Oryzias latipes: one gene and its partners. The protein of the gene in region 4 binds, or shares a complex with, the protein of the main gene of each other region. Links are inferred from orthologs where the notes say so. Each region holds a gene or a part of one and is shown on either strand. Other genes may lie near its edges.

Region 1 (3,276 bases), on a different chromosome or scaffold from region 4:
CCAACTCTAACTACTGAAAAACTGTGTAGCGTATATGTACATATATATATGTAGTGTCTTGGATTTAAAAAGCAATTCAGACTCCATGCTCACAACTTTTTTTTTTTTTTTACACGGCAGATATGATGTCATCGATTTCACAAAGTTAAAATATAATTACTATGAGCGTTTTGCACCGATTATTTTAGTCAACCGTCTTCTGAAGATAAAAACATTGATTCATTAAAAAAATACATGTTTTTGGTAATAATTGGTCCAACGCAATGCATTGTGGTCTATATTCGCTGATCTAGTGAGCATCATGCACACTGTTTTTTAGCAGAGACTTCTGGGAAATTTCTAGGGCCCTGGATGTTGGAATGGTAGATTTGGACAGCTCTAGTCAGGACATGTCCGATAACGTAAGCTCTTTCAAACGGTGGGGCTCCTACATATTTGGGGTTGCTTTGCCAAATCTTGCAGTTGCTTTAGCAACTCAAAGCTACCGATGGGCGCCGCCCCCTGTCTACGTCACAAATACGATCTTTTTCCAACAGCATTTTTTCGTCTGCTCCTGATCCACAACGATTTGAATAAAAAAGAACTCAGGAAAGCAGTTATATTCTCAACTTTCTTCATATTTGTCCTTCATCACCATAAAAAAGCCAAGAGATCAAGTTAAAAACACCAGAAACGCCGTTTTCACCAGAGCTTTCACAATAATGTGACACTGACTGACGTGCGTCTCCACGTGACACAGGACACCGTGAACACCTGTAAAGACATTCGTCTCACCTCTCTGATGGCAGCGATGGTGTTCTCCGGCGCGTCGTGCGCGCCGCCCCGGTGAGCGATCACGGACACCCGCGCGCTCTCCGCCCCGCAACCCACCGGCTGCAGCACGAGACGGGCTCGGCTGCGCGCCACTTGCGGGAAACGAAACATGGCTAGAAAACAGTACAAGGAAGTGGTGAGGACGGCAGACCACAGCGGACTTCGGGTCCCCAGTAAGACCAGCACGAAGACCAACGAGTGGAGGGCGACCTCGTCCCCCAGCGGAAGCATCGCGGCTCCTCTCCTGTCTGGAAACAGCTGGAGGAAGCGGAAGCACCGCCCGCGCGTCACTCAGACTTTCTAACCTGTCTAGGCACAGATATTCGCCATGGCACAAGCTCCGCCCCGCTGACTTGTGACGGCATCGAACGTGTAACGAAACCGGCACATTCGGCGTCTTTGAACACAGCCGTTAACGGCTGAAGCTGATCGATTCTCCCGTCGGGCCGGATGTGCTCCGTCAAGTCACGACAAAATAAAAGCCTGTAGTTTTTAACCAATAAAAACAATTTACCACAATAAATATAAAACATTTTTTTTCAATAAAATATGGCTATAAATACTATCAGCACTTTAAAACGCCTTACGTGGGCCAGCCAACCAAACAAAATGTGACTTTGAAATAAATTGAAGTAATAAAATAAAAGACTAAGAAAGGACTTCCGGGTCACTGGTCGGCTAACAGATCACTTCCTGTTCTCGTGTTGCTGTATTTTATCTTATTTTATGTCCTTGTCTCCTGTCCTGGTGAGTCTTTTTCCTCACGTTTTGCTTGTAGCAACAAAACTTCATTCGTCAATTAAGATGTTTCGTCTTTATTTATATTTTATTTATATACTAAACAGTTCTGGAGGTTCGACAACTGTTCAGAATGAACTGTCTCTAGTCTCAGCAGGTTACCTTTTCCAGATACCAGAGACGAGTTCAAAACCAGGAATAAGACATTTGACTTACAATACCATTTAGCAAATTTAGGAGGAATTACAACTGTTTTAGTTGACTGTATTGCAAATGTTGTAGTTTATCCATCCCAGATTTCATTGAACATGTATGTTAGAGTCTGGTTGAACTAAACCAGACCAATATCATACCAGTAACTTTAAATCACTTTATGAGATATTGGAAGAAACTAACCTTAACTGCTTTTCCGTCTCTCAGCATACTTCGAAGGATGTTTTTCTAAGTGAAGTTTTTTCTCAGATGGAGTCGCTGTTGCTGCGGAGGCTGACGTCCCGCCTTCTGTCATGTACCAGAGGATCCTGTTTGCTCTCAGGACGGATTGCTTACACCTTGGAGTCTCCTCCTTCTCCACACTCCTCATCAGTTCAGAGCCACCCTGGACCCGTTCCAGCTAAAGTTCCCACTTTGATCCGACACTACGACTCGCCCACCCCCAAATATTCAATGATTTACACCCTGCCACACATTAAGTTCCTCAGGGCGGTGTCCAGACTTAAACTCCTCCAGACCGCCATCACTGCTGTCATCCTGCCTCCAGTGTTTGTCCTGTATTTCCAGGGAGCCGTCTCCTTCTTTTTGGTCAGCTACTCCACTGGAATCGCTGCGTTTGCTGGCGTCATGCTGTACACGCTAAGCCATTTCTTCAGGAGGGTTGTAGGAATGATGTACCTTGATCCATCTCAAACCGTGCTGAAAGTTTCCCACCTTACTTTCTGGGGAAAGCGCAGTGATATGTACATTCCTGTTTCCGATGTTATGACCATTGGAGATACTGGAGATTCAGCGAATGAGACCATCCTCCGGCTTCAGAGGTACAGCGGCCCCGAGACGTTGTATTTCTCTGTGTATTTTGGAAAGGTGGTGGATAGACAGGGCTTTGAGAAAGTATTTGGAAGTTTAACATAAATTCTTTGAACTTTTCTTGGGGGGGGGGAAACTGTTGTGCTGGAAGTTAATAAAAATGTAAACATATTACAGTCCTGACTGTTACCTTCACATGTTCAATGCTAACTAAGGCCGAATCCGAATTCCTCCTCTACCCCTCCGGCTTCTCCCTATTCCTCCAATTGTTGGGGCATTTGGAGGGTCTGAAATAGTTTAAGGGGGCAAACCCTTCAAAAGGGTGATCCTGTAGAGGAGAAATGCATTTCTTCACTTGGGTTTGCTCTGAAGGACTGAAGTTAAGGACTTTTTGTTTTAGCGTCACTCTTTAACGTTATAAAACTGATGTTAGGAATTTTCCGAGCGCTGACGGGGACTATGGATTATGTCGTCGAGTGGGAGTGATGCCCGAATCAGGAGACAATATTTTCCCATATCCCTCCGTTTGGAGGGCTAAATGAAGGGGTAGGGAGAAGCCGCAGGGATGAGGGAAGAATCCGGATTCAGCCTTAGACATCTGTCCGCCATTTGTAGCAGATTTTTCCTGATTGGACACACGGAGTCCAGTTTCAGGATCAATAATTGGTTTTCTGAGCTAAATGAGTTGTAGAAATCCTAAAA
Region 2 (2,730 bases), on a different chromosome or scaffold from region 4:
GAAGGACCAGCCTGCTCTGTGTGGAAGTATGTGTCAAATAAAGCAACATAAAAAGAGAAAACTACATATGATGATGTAAACAGCTGAAACTTCGCTGACAGATGAGGAGATTGCAGTCTTGATGGGGAAACACTTTTGAGGCATTTATTAATAATTTCCACTTTATCGCACCAGATGTCAACGACATCCCTACAGCTGATGATTCCTGCTGATGACATGCGCCTGACGTCTTCAGCTGGGGGAAGCGGAGCCACTACAATCCAGTGACCCACAGTTTCAAGCACAGATGTAGTTTACATGTAACTGAAGAAACAAGGTCTGAATTCCCTCACTACTCACTATATGGTGCGTTAGCATTTTGTATTACAAAATAATAATTCAAAATCCTAGAAATTTCCCAGAAGTCTCTGTGAAAACTAGTGGGCATTGTTGCATTAAAACTAGGGCTCTAGTCCTGCACTATATCATATTTTATGGGTTAGGGAGAAGTGAGGAAATTCAGACATAGCCTAGGTGTTTGACATGTTTTGCTGAATATTTGAGACATCAAAACTAATACTGGTAGTTCCCAGTTTGGTTTTTACTGTGTGGTCTCTTGCACGATCTCCATCAGCTTCACAGCACTGAGAGCTTAATTGCATTAATAGTCATTGCATAAGAACCTAATGACTGATAGAAAATGCCTGTTAAAAGTGGTGATAAAATGTTCGTGTGATTCATGACTGAATTGCTGTAATATTTTATTTTTTTGTCGCCAAATGTCTAATTTAGCAGTCCTTGTACAGGTTTGCTCACTGCGCACGGAAGCAATGTCTCCAGCATATATTTTTCCTACACCAGTGTTTACATTAAGCTTTGTAAATGGCGATGTCCACCTGCGTTCCTTAACTTTTTTGCGTGTAGAAACTGACATAAATAAGGCTTCTGGTCAGCTCTGAGGCCCCAGTTTCTCCTGAGATTCGGGGAAATCCTGATGTTCAGCTTGGACAGTTTTTAGTACAGGACACCCAGAGGCTGCACTGATCGGATCCTGAACAGTGACACCTGCATACTGCAGCCCTGCCTCATCTTTACCTCAAAGATGGGTAGGATGCGGCAGTCCCTGACGAAGCGCTCATACGGGTAGTTCTTGGTGTAACCCAGACCTCCGAGGACCTGCAGAGCCTCGCTGACGCAGATCCAGCCTCCCTCTGAGCTGAACACCTGCGCGGCACAGAGACATCAGGGTGGGGCTCAAGCCTAGCACGAAATAGAGCACAGGAGGGGGGAGGCTGCATCTACCTTGACCATGGCAGCTTCCAGAGAACAATCTGGAACTCCAGGTCTATCCATCATTCCTGCAGTCAGGTAAGCCATGCTCTCCATCACAAAGGCATTGATGGCCATCAAGGCAAACTTCTCCTGCAGAAACACATGAGGACTTTTTAGCTTGGGTGTTAGCTGCTTTATTACAGTGAGGAGGCTGACAGCATACCTGGATCAGGCCAAACTCACTAAGGCTTTTGTTAAACTGCTTCCTGGTGGCGGCGTACTCAGAGGCCATCTCTGCGGAGAGAATATATAGAAATGCAGAGACTTCGAAAAGCACCACAACCTTCAGAGAATATCTGCTTACCGATCAGCTTTTTGATCATTCCGGCACAGGAGCTGCCCATGCTGAACCTTCCAGAGTTCAGGATGTTCATGGCGATCTGTTCATCACAAAGCTCCCATTAATGACCGACAAACACCTTCAACTGGTCAGGCTGCAGAGCAGGGCACAGTTTACCTTGAATCCTCCTCCAATCTCACCAATTACATTCTCCACCGGCACCGGCACATTGTCAAAGGACACCTCACAAGCTGGAAGTAGAACCAAAGCTCAGCTTCACAGACCCGACAAAGCTTGGAGTCCAACTCCGCCCCACTTACTGTTGGATCCCCGGATGCCCAGCTTGTCCTCTGGCTTGCCGCTGGTTATCCCCCCAAAAGCCCTCTCAACAATAAAGGCTGAGATTTTGTCTTTTTTGACTCCGTCCACCTCCACCTCAGTGCGAGCGAACACTGTCATGATGTCCGCCATCCCTCCGTTTGAGATCCAGAACTGACAGACAAAAGAGGAAGCTCAACACACCTACATGTAAAAAAAACAAACACGTGCACCCATGTGAGCGTCCACCGTCTCACCTTGGAACCGTTGATCAGGTAATGTTTTCCATCTTCAGACAGGGTAGCTCGAGTCTGAATGGAGGCCGCATCACTCCCACTGTAACACCAGATAACAGTCAGCCACGTGCACACAAACGTGCACTGTCATGTGCACAGACAATTCAGTGTTCTATTCCCTGAGTGCATAAAACTGTAATGTTTGTTTTGGGAAATTCAGACATGAAAAAAATTGTTTAAACTTTTATTTTGAAAATTTAAGTTAAAATGATGTTAATCGTTTGATCCAGACTCTTCCTAACAGGGTGACAAAGAAAAAATAGAAAGACGCTAAAGTGTTTTGTTGTAGAGGAAAGATTATTAAGATATACGACTACTTTCCTTCGAAATAAAAGCCTGTGTACTTTCAGTGAGATAAAAAGATGTGTGTGGGGGGGGGGGGGGGGGGGGGGCTGTGTGTACATGCATTCTCTCTGTTACTGCTGGCAGATATTCCCGTGCTCCATCACCTCTTTGCTGTCGGGCTGTGAGCAGAAACACGAATGAAGCTCCACAGAAAGGTTGGATGCTTTTACCTCCCAGGCT
Region 3 (4,151 bases), on a different chromosome or scaffold from region 4:
AGAGCGGGAGCGGACCGTTTCTTTTCTAGTTTGTTTGTTACTTTTTTTGTTAAAGTCACTTCCCTCAGTTTATACTGGATCATCGCGGATGAGTCATTAGTTGGGAAATAAAATAAATAAAGTAATAAAGTAAAACAACGAATAGCAATTATATAAGACCGAAATATTAAAAATAGCCCCCCCCACGACGATATCATCGTCCATACCGATGATTGACAGCAAACATCGTCAACGGCCAATTTAAGGGACATCGCCCAACCCTACTGCCAGAACGATATTTATTTAATTATTTCTGAGCGCTCTTCAGCGTCTGACTCTTGTTCTCCACTTCATCCTCTGACCGCTAGTTGGCAGCAGAGAACACGGAGCCTCTTAGAGCAGCTCTACTCTGCACGAGACAACAGGAAGACTGCAGCCAGAGGCAGCTTGTTCTGTTGTTATGAGACATGAAATACTTCGTTTTTACTTGCGATGGATACCAAACAGAAACTCTGAGCCATGTTGCTTTTTATATGTTGCTTCTAGCAACATATAAAAACGAGGATTGTGATGCTTTTTAGCGGCTCAGATAAATAAGAGTGAAGCACGGCAGCGGCTAAAGAGGCTTATGCGCTTAGCATCGGCTAAAAACCTGCTAATCAGCAAAGCGGGCTAAAATTCTGCAAAACATCCCAGCAATAGATTCTAGTTTAGCGACCTGATGGATCAGAGGAATGTGTACAACGCTCTGAAAAAAGGCGACATCGTGGCGAGGAGCGTTAGTTTACCTCCGTGTGAGATGAAGCGTGGCTGGAAAGCCAAAGGTGCAGCACAGGCAGAGACTGATAATATGTAAACAAAGCACTTTTGTCACATTAAAGCATCTTTTCGTCGTTCCGTCATGCTGCCTCATCATCACTTTATTGTTTCTGGAAATAATCAGTGTGTCCCCCACACCCCACCCTTTATTTTTGAAGCACCATTCTGACTCCTGAACCGTTTAAAAGTAATGGAGAAGCTACATTAAGCAAAGTTGAAAATAAACAGCATTTTATTTGCCCAATAGAAACTTATTGGTTAAGGCTCATTCATTCTTTGTTTTTCTTATACTGAAAAATATTTTGTTGTGGAAATCAAACAATGTTGACTGTTCCCTTTCTATATTTTAACTTACCAAAATAAAAGCACTATGAATTTGCTTTGGTAAATGGAACTTATACATGAGACGCAATTGCAGCGCTTAACATTGTGATCATTTAATAAACTGAATTTGACCATTTTATTGCAGTGGATGACATATTGAAATTCAGGTTGAGTTTTTTCAAAGCCATATTTAAAGAAAAAAAGAAAATATGTTTTGGTAAAATTTTGGGATACGTATCGTATCGCCAGACTCTTGCCAATACACAGCCCTAATTTGAGGTGGGACAGGTTTCAGACCTAGATTTGACAAGTAACAACTAGAATTCTGCTGCTTTTCCTGTTCTGGAGGATGTCACACAACTAAACTGTGTGTTTAAACTGGATTTATTCTGCCTTCTGTTATGTCGGCATAAGCAGGCTGCATACAAATGCACAGAATTAATTTGTGAATATTTTTTTCTGCCTAATACTTTGTTAGCAAAAATAATCCTATTTTTCATCTTCCTGTGATAATGGAGAAACTGGTCAGTTTACTCATCATCACACAGCGGCTGGACACCCCCCTGACAGACTGTACCTGGGCTGCCTGATGGTCCACACGGTTGTATCTGTCAGTCAGATGGATGTTATGAACTCGTAAGGGCGGGGCTCCAAGGCTCTCCATGGCAACAGGACACGCCTTCAGCTGTCGCACAGCGAGTTGATGGTATTCACTCCCAGCAAAGTTTTCTGACGAGATAGCAGAAAAGAGAGCATGCGCACGTACGTGTGCATGAGTCACAGAGACATGAAGGGGCTGCAGCAGAGAGACAGACCAAGACATTTGCGGGTTCCACTCCTAAACCAGAGCCACTTTCAGACCGTAAAGCGGAACCAGGAGTTTCTGTTTTGAACAGACTATTGCTTCAACGCGTGCACGCACACATGCACTCACTCTGCATCAGGTAGTACATGGTGCCAACGCCCCCACCCGTCAGGACGGTAGTGAAGATGGTGAGCCTCTGCAGATGGTGGATGGGGACCCTCATGGTGCAGCTCTTCCTGCACAAAAAAGCAAAGACAGATGAAACGGAGCCACGATGGCGGCTGAGCTGCAGACACCAACCTGAGAGACATGATGGAGGGAAAATCATCAGAGGATGCTGCCAGAAAAATGACTTATAGAGAGGAACTCTCTAGGTCTACAGCTCTGGAGTCCTGTCCTGGTTTCTAATTTGTTGAAACTTTATTTAAACAGGAACAGTGTACACAAATCCCAGAGAAAACAGGAACATTGTTCTGATGTTTTTTTTTTCTCCTGCAGGAGGAAACATTTCCAAAAATCCGAAAATAAAGATAAAGCATTCACTGTTGAAAATATTGGGATGTAAAAAAATGCTTCTAAAAAAAAAATCACCGACTACGAGGCACCGACTGGGCGGGGCCCTTTTACGTCATCGGGAATGTCCTGTCAGCTGGTCGAAATGGCCTCTCCATGAATGCTGTGGCGGACAAATGCGCTCAGGTGAGTTCAGTGTCACTCTTACCTGAACACATGCGGCTCTACCGGCGCGTGCTCTTCCCTGACCCCTCCCCCTCGTTTGCGCGGTTCTCCGTGAGCGTGCGCCGCTCTGCTGCAGGTTAGATCCGGAATCCGTCCGTAACACGTGTTCACGTGGGTTTAAATAGGGACGGTGGCCTTTGTCTTCTTTCTTCTATGCTTATCGGGGGTTTGTGCCGCACAAAGGCTGTTTACTGCCCCCTGCTGGACTCTGGACGCGCTGCACTAGATGAAATATAGAGGAAAATGGAACAGTCTTCTTTACAATTCAGTTTTTCCTGGACATGCAGGATAACTTCATACTGCTAATAAAAGCTGGCTTTCTTTCTTCGGTCTATATTCTGCACCATTTTAATGGAAATAAACGGGTTTTATCACCACTCTAATCAAAGTGTTTGACTGCGATCCGGGTAACCTTTGAGCACCTGTGGTTTACTAAATGTACATCATGTTTACGTGTTTGCGTGGACAAGAATGCCGCCCCATACACAGCACGGATATGGAACATTTTTCATTGTTCAGGCTGTTGTGTTGTTGTTGCTTCGAAACCTTTGAGAAGCTGCTGAAAAGAGGAAAAGTAGCTTATGCACAGAGCTGCACCAGACTGCATGTGCAGGAGACAACACCACCATGCAGACAGGGATGTCAGTGTTTCAGACTTTGCTAAGAAAAGTGGTAGGAGTTGTGTCTTAGAGTTAAATACATGTCCTCGAATGGATGGAAGAGCGGGACTACTGAAGTTGGATAAGCTCCATCGGGGAGGCCGTTAGCAAAGAGAGATGATTTTTAGAGAGAATACATTACGGAGAAACATTTAAATGAAGCACACCTGTTAACAGATACATATTAATAAAAACAGGATGATGCTTCTAGATATATTTGGACAGGACTGGTGATCTCTGACATCACCCATAGGGCTCTGAGGGCAAAAAACCCACGAGGAATACTAACCTCTCAACCGTCTCTTCGACTGCTGTTTTGGGAGTGAAAGCAGTCATTGTTGGTTCAATTCCCAGCTCTTCCAGTAATGTAGTATTGAAGTGATGTTGGGCAGAACACTACAGTAAATCTGTGAGTTAGGTTTAGTTTTTCCAACTGCATTTTTCCATCTGCTCGTGATTCAATTATTTGGAAAAAGCCACTTTAATCTTTATATATGTTCATTCAGAATGTTCTAAAAGAACATGTTAACACCCAAAATACAATTCTCATCGGAGTGGGTTTTAACAATAACCACTGTCCTAAAAGTTTATTTTTCATTCTCATGTATGAGAAAATACACGTGAATTGGGGGGGGGGGGGGGGGGGGGATTCGGACCCATGGCCTTGTTTTGGTTTAATAATGGTTCCATTTAAGCAGTGTGATGCTGCTTCCTGTGGACTAGGGGGTATGAATCTTCGGACACACAAGGTGTATATTTACATAAACCCATTTTGGATTAGAGGCTAAACTTCATCTATTCTCTTTATGTTTGTATACATTTTTTGT
Region 4 (4,033 bases):
GGAAACCTTTAACTGAATTGACAGCAGAACTCCTGTCACTACCGTTGTATAAAAACAGAGGGAGATCCAATTAAATCTGTTAAAACATATTCATGTGGACAAACATCATATTCTAATTTTATTCTAAACTGAGTCTTTTGCACCTTTTACACTAGTTCTTTGTCACTGTAATCAAAAGTAACAATACAAATACAAGAACCTCACATAGAATACAATCCATTTGCTTAAAAATAGCAAAACAAACATTTAATTTGAAATAATTCTACTTTTTTTTTCCTTTTATGAACGTTTGATTGGAACCATTTGTAACTTGATTGACATATTTGTATTGTGAAAAATCATTGATCATTAAAAATGAATCGCTGGAAAGAAGCGATTCCTGTTTTCAGGAGGTAAAACACAGACGGGACCTTTGATCTCGGACCTGTCACTCACACAGACGGGACCTTTGATCTCGGACCTGTCACTCAGGGCCCGTCAGGAGGGGGTGGGCCGGAACTCACCCGGTGCTGCTGTGGGTTGCTCCGCGCGGCGCGCGGACCGTGGGGTTCTGGCTGGAGGACCCGCGCCGTCTGCCACGAGCATCGGAGCAGCCGCAGATCCTGCAGCCGCTGTAGGCAGCGGGAAACCTTCATGGTGGAGCCATGAAACCCACCGTCCAGATGGTAGATCCACACAGACAGACAGACAGCGACGGCTATCGAAAGAAAGACGGACTCAGGGAGGTCTGAGCGCGTGCCAGGATCACAAGCACCAAAATGTCTCCCACTAGTTATCAGTGACTCCCGGAAGAGATTAAAAAATGAAGCAAAGTGACAAGAAAACACTCAAAACACACCTGAAAACGAGTCTCCTTCAAAACAACCACACGGCGGCAGCTTACCGGGGAACCAACGTCCTCTGTCCGGCACCTTTTTCCTTCCCCCTCACAACAGAGAAAAACAGCAACAATCGTTCCGCAGGTCCGGAGAAGAAAGTTCCGCGCTGTGCTGCCCGGTGATTTTAGACAGAGAAAATGTAAATATTTGTTTACGTAAATACTAACCGTTCTTCCTAACATAAAATACGTCTTAGCAGCAGCAGGAAAAGGCAGAGAGGTGCAGAGATTCAAACCCCAAACCCTCCTGTCAAGGCTGGTGGCAAGTGTTCAACCAGGTGGATTTTAATGTGACAAAAGCTCAGCAAGAGGGAAGATAAATAAATGTCATTCATAAAGTAATAGTGCCCCCCCCCAAAGCTAGTCAGGAGAGGCCTCCAAAGTTTAGTAGAGAAGAATTTAACTTAGAAAAAAGTGGAAAGCCGTTAAAAAAACAGGTTTGCTTTGATAGTTTTGAGGGAAGTTTTATCAAACGATAATTAATGCAATAATCGTTGAGCACTAAATGTTTGAGTAATATTAATTTCTGGAATGTTGTCATGTCTTTTTGTCAGAAGTTACAAACTAGAATATGATAAATATGTAAAAACAAGTTAAATAAAGCACAATAGGGGTGGGTTTATGTTCATTAGCTTTCTCTTACTCCTCAAATAATTAAACTCTTTTGGAAAATAAATTTTAATTTAATAGGTTTAATATGTCGTGTATTGTTTATATAAGTGCAAATATTTATGATTAAGAGTAACTATAAAGGAATATATGTTTGCAACTGTTTTTATATGTTTTACTTTTTAGATTTTTTAATCACTTCGTGACAAATCAGCTTGAGTTTGATATACTTGATCTATACATAAATGTCTTTTGTTTGTCTTTTCGGTTTTGATCGCTTGAAATAAATCAAATCCAAACGGCCTTTTTATTTGTGTATTGGGCCTTTATTTTGGAAGGCTGGACCAGAGAAATGGTTCATAGAATTTAATCTGTTTTTTAAACCAAGAAACTGTGATGTAACTATTGTCAGAAGAGCCCAAAAATGGGATTTTTATTCATTTCTCCTTGATGTGAAATCTGTCTGATGCATTCAGATATTATCTGATCCTCCTGTCTGTTTACCCAGCTGCAGGGAAGGACAATGGGGGGGAGGGGGGTAGTCGGATTGTGTTTTGGGAGTTTGGTTAAGTCTGGTGAGGCTGAACGTGGTCATGTGATCCTCCCAGCGGCGGACATCAAACGGGATCAGCAGCAGCAGATGCTTTATTCAGCAACATGCAGTTCCGGATGACGCCACGCGGGGGCGACAGAAACAGCGGCGCTGAGGCAGCAGCAGGCATCGCCGCGCTGCATGAGCTGAAAACTCCACACTAACATTTTTCGCTCTGGCTGTCAGCGTCCGGGGGGGTTTCTGGGGCTGGGGGGCTGCAGCACTGACATGACAGCGGTATGTCCCGCTGATGGATCCCTGTGAGTTCTGCTGTCAGTTTGGGAGTCGGTAATCCGGTTGCAGGGCTCGCGGGGTTCCTCCTGGCGCGTGAAGCGCGCGGCTGTGAGCGGCATTCACGTTTCCGGTGTGCTGCAGCGCCCGCAGTTGACTGGAGCCTTTGTGAGACACTCCCGCGTGAGCATGGAAAACACACCTTAAAGTATAAAAACACAAACCTTTGGCCGCACCGCGCCTCTCAACCGGATCATGGACTCCTCCACCAACAGTCTGGGTGAGTAGTTCTGCTCCGAACCAGCCGAACTTTAGCGCCAGCCCCGCTGCTTCTGACTGACTGGTTCCGATCCACTGCTCCTGCGGGGAGCAGTCATCCTGGAGTTTTTTTGTAAATGTCCGGTTGGTGGAGGACTTCAGAACATTTGTTTGGGTTCTGTTCACAACTTTCTCTTTCCGTTTCTTGGCTCCGGTTCGGTTCTGACAGTAGTTGGTTTGTCTTCAGCCCGCTTTTCACCTGCAAACGGCCGCGTAAAGCTCCGCGTCGAGCGAGGCGCAGAGATGTGTGCCGCGGGCGCAGCGCCGTGCGTGGGTGTGCGGGGCTGAAGTCATATTTGCGGTTTGGAAGCAGCGCTTTATCTCATGACCTGAAGGCGGTTCTGAGGAATGCCTTCACTTTCGGATCAGCAAACACGGCCCGGATGACAGCAGCGGGTCGGGCTCCGCTCCACGGGACAGACAGAAGCGGCTTTTGTTGCACATCTGGGGCCTCTGCGGGGCCTGCGGGGCCCTTCTGTGCTGATGCCTTAAACGTCTGGGAACGTCTCGTGCGCTCAGATTCCCGCAGCTTTCATTTGGAGGCTCTTAGATTCAGCTGGAGGCGCTTCTTGTTTCCGTTTTTGCATCAATGAGCTGCAGCTCCTGCAGAACTCTGGCTGAAGGTGTCAGGAGCAGCGGAGACCCCACCTGAGGATGTGGACTTCCCCTATAGGCCTCATTCTGTCCATCACGTCTGTCATCCTCCTCCGTTTAGACCAGAGTACTGACTGTACAACAGAAATAACGTCAAAATACCTCGATGGGTGTGTACTCCAATCCACTCATCTTCTTCTCTTCCTTTGGGTGTTTCCCTTCAGGGTCTCCACAGCCAATCAGCTTCCTCTGTCTGTCTCCTGCATCCTCTACCAGCAGCTACCTTCATGTCTTCCTTCATCCAGAGTCCTCCTCTCTGGTCTTCCTCTAGACTCAGCATCCTTCAGTCTGTCCTCTGGACATGTCCCAACCATCTCAGTCTTACCTCTAACGCAGGGGTCCCCAGACTTTTCAGAGACGTTTCCATCCTCTGATGGGGGCCGTGGTCAGTTTGAAACAGAGAAAGTGTGACAGTCGCAGGGGGGCCTAAATGTAAACTGAGAGCCACACAGAACCAAATGTTAACAAGCCGATCTGTTACTAAATAATCCTCTCTGGGTTCTTTACATAAAAAGTCAGTAAATATAAAGTAACAGTATTTTAGATTTTAGAAAATCAATAATAACCACATAAATCTCTGTAGTTGTTCACAGAAATAGAGCTTCTGTTGTCCGTGCACAATCTCAGGTTCAACTTCAGTTGTGGAGCAGAATCTCCTAAATGACTCATGTGATCAGTCTCTTTAGGTTTTTGTGTTCTTTCCTTATAATCCAGTCTTGGATGTTTCCAGGAGGCTCGCCTATAAAACCCTG

Evidence for each region.
Region 1: ecsit (region 4) and tmem186 share a complex: the UniProt entries of both Homo sapiens proteins name them as parts of the mitochondrial complex. The link is inferred for Oryzias latipes from reciprocal best matches to the Homo sapiens genes ECSIT and TMEM186.
Region 2: the proteins of ecsit (region 4) and acad9 are in contact, whole or in part, in a cryo-EM structure (PDB 8PHE), measured with the Homo sapiens proteins. The link is inferred for Oryzias latipes from reciprocal best matches to the Homo sapiens genes ECSIT and ACAD9. Residues at the interface, in NP_057665.2 of Homo sapiens: Pro321, Glu322, Glu323, Trp324, Asn325, Leu326, Tyr327, Tyr328, Pro329, Met330, Leu332, Asp333, Leu334; in NP_054768.2 of Homo sapiens: Leu180, Thr181, Asp188, Ala189, Ala190, Ser191, Ile192, Lys228, Lys239, Asp240, Lys241, Ile242, Phe293, Ala296, Met297, Leu300, Ile431, Met434, Tyr435, Leu438, Thr439, Leu441, Gln442, Gly445, Thr449, Leu516, Gly520, Lys521, Ile523, Met524.
Region 3: ecsit (region 4) and cytochrome c oxidase assembly factor 1 homolog share a complex: the UniProt entries of both Homo sapiens proteins name them as parts of the mitochondrial complex. The link is inferred for Oryzias latipes from reciprocal best matches to the Homo sapiens genes ECSIT and COA1.

What each region holds. Positions count from the first base shown.
Region 1 is NC_019859.2:36,187,883-36,191,158, forward strand, and holds tmem186 (transmembrane protein 186), read left to right. Parts: upstream 1-1,400; 5' UTR 1,401-1,539; coding exon 1,540-1,560; intron 1,561-2,013; coding exon 2,014-2,679; 3' UTR 2,680-2,748; downstream 2,749-3,276. Other genes in the region: gde1 (glycerophosphodiester phosphodiesterase 1), read right to left, coding at 775-1,044. UniProt on the Homo sapiens protein: As part of the MCIA complex, required for efficient assembly of the mitochondrial complex I.
Region 2 is NC_019863.2:25,296,283-25,299,012, reverse strand, and holds part of acad9 (acyl-CoA dehydrogenase family member 9, mitochondrial), read right to left. Parts: coding exon 2,721-2,730; intron 2,246-2,720; coding exon 2,167-2,245; intron 2,084-2,166; coding exon 1,912-2,083; intron 1,843-1,911; coding exon 1,769-1,842; intron 1,692-1,768; coding exon 1,616-1,691; intron 1,546-1,615; coding exon 1,475-1,545; intron 1,402-1,474; coding exon 1,282-1,401; intron 1,204-1,281; coding exon 1,075-1,203; intron 1-1,074. UniProt on the Homo sapiens protein: As part of the MCIA complex, primarily participates in the assembly of the mitochondrial complex I and therefore plays a role in oxidative phosphorylation.
Region 3 is NC_019875.2:5,297,577-5,301,727, reverse strand, and holds the start of cytochrome c oxidase assembly factor 1 homolog, read right to left. Parts: upstream 2,806-4,151; 5' UTR 2,649-2,805; intron 2,627-2,648; coding exon of another isoform or gene 2,601-2,626; exon of another isoform or gene 2,526-2,600; intron 2,164-2,525; 5' UTR 2,151-2,163; coding exon 2,057-2,150; intron 1,852-2,056; coding exon 1,700-1,851; intron 1-1,699. Other genes in the region: blvra (biliverdin reductase A), read left to right, coding at 2,601-2,626. UniProt on the Homo sapiens protein: Component of the MITRAC (mitochondrial translation regulation assembly intermediate of cytochrome c oxidase complex) complex, that regulates cytochrome c oxidase assembly.
Region 4 is NC_019876.2:29,030,308-29,034,340, forward strand, and holds the start of ecsit (evolutionarily conserved signaling intermediate in Toll pathway, mitochondrial), read right to left. Parts: upstream 2,811-4,033; 5' UTR 2,590-2,810; coding exon of another isoform or gene 2,565-2,589; 5' UTR 2,534-2,564; exon of another isoform or gene 2,024-2,533; intron 934-2,023; exon of another isoform or gene 926-933; 5' UTR 839-925; intron 698-838; 5' UTR 636-697; coding exon 504-635; intron 1-503. Other genes in the region: eml3 (echinoderm microtubule-associated protein-like 3), read left to right, coding at 2,565-2,589.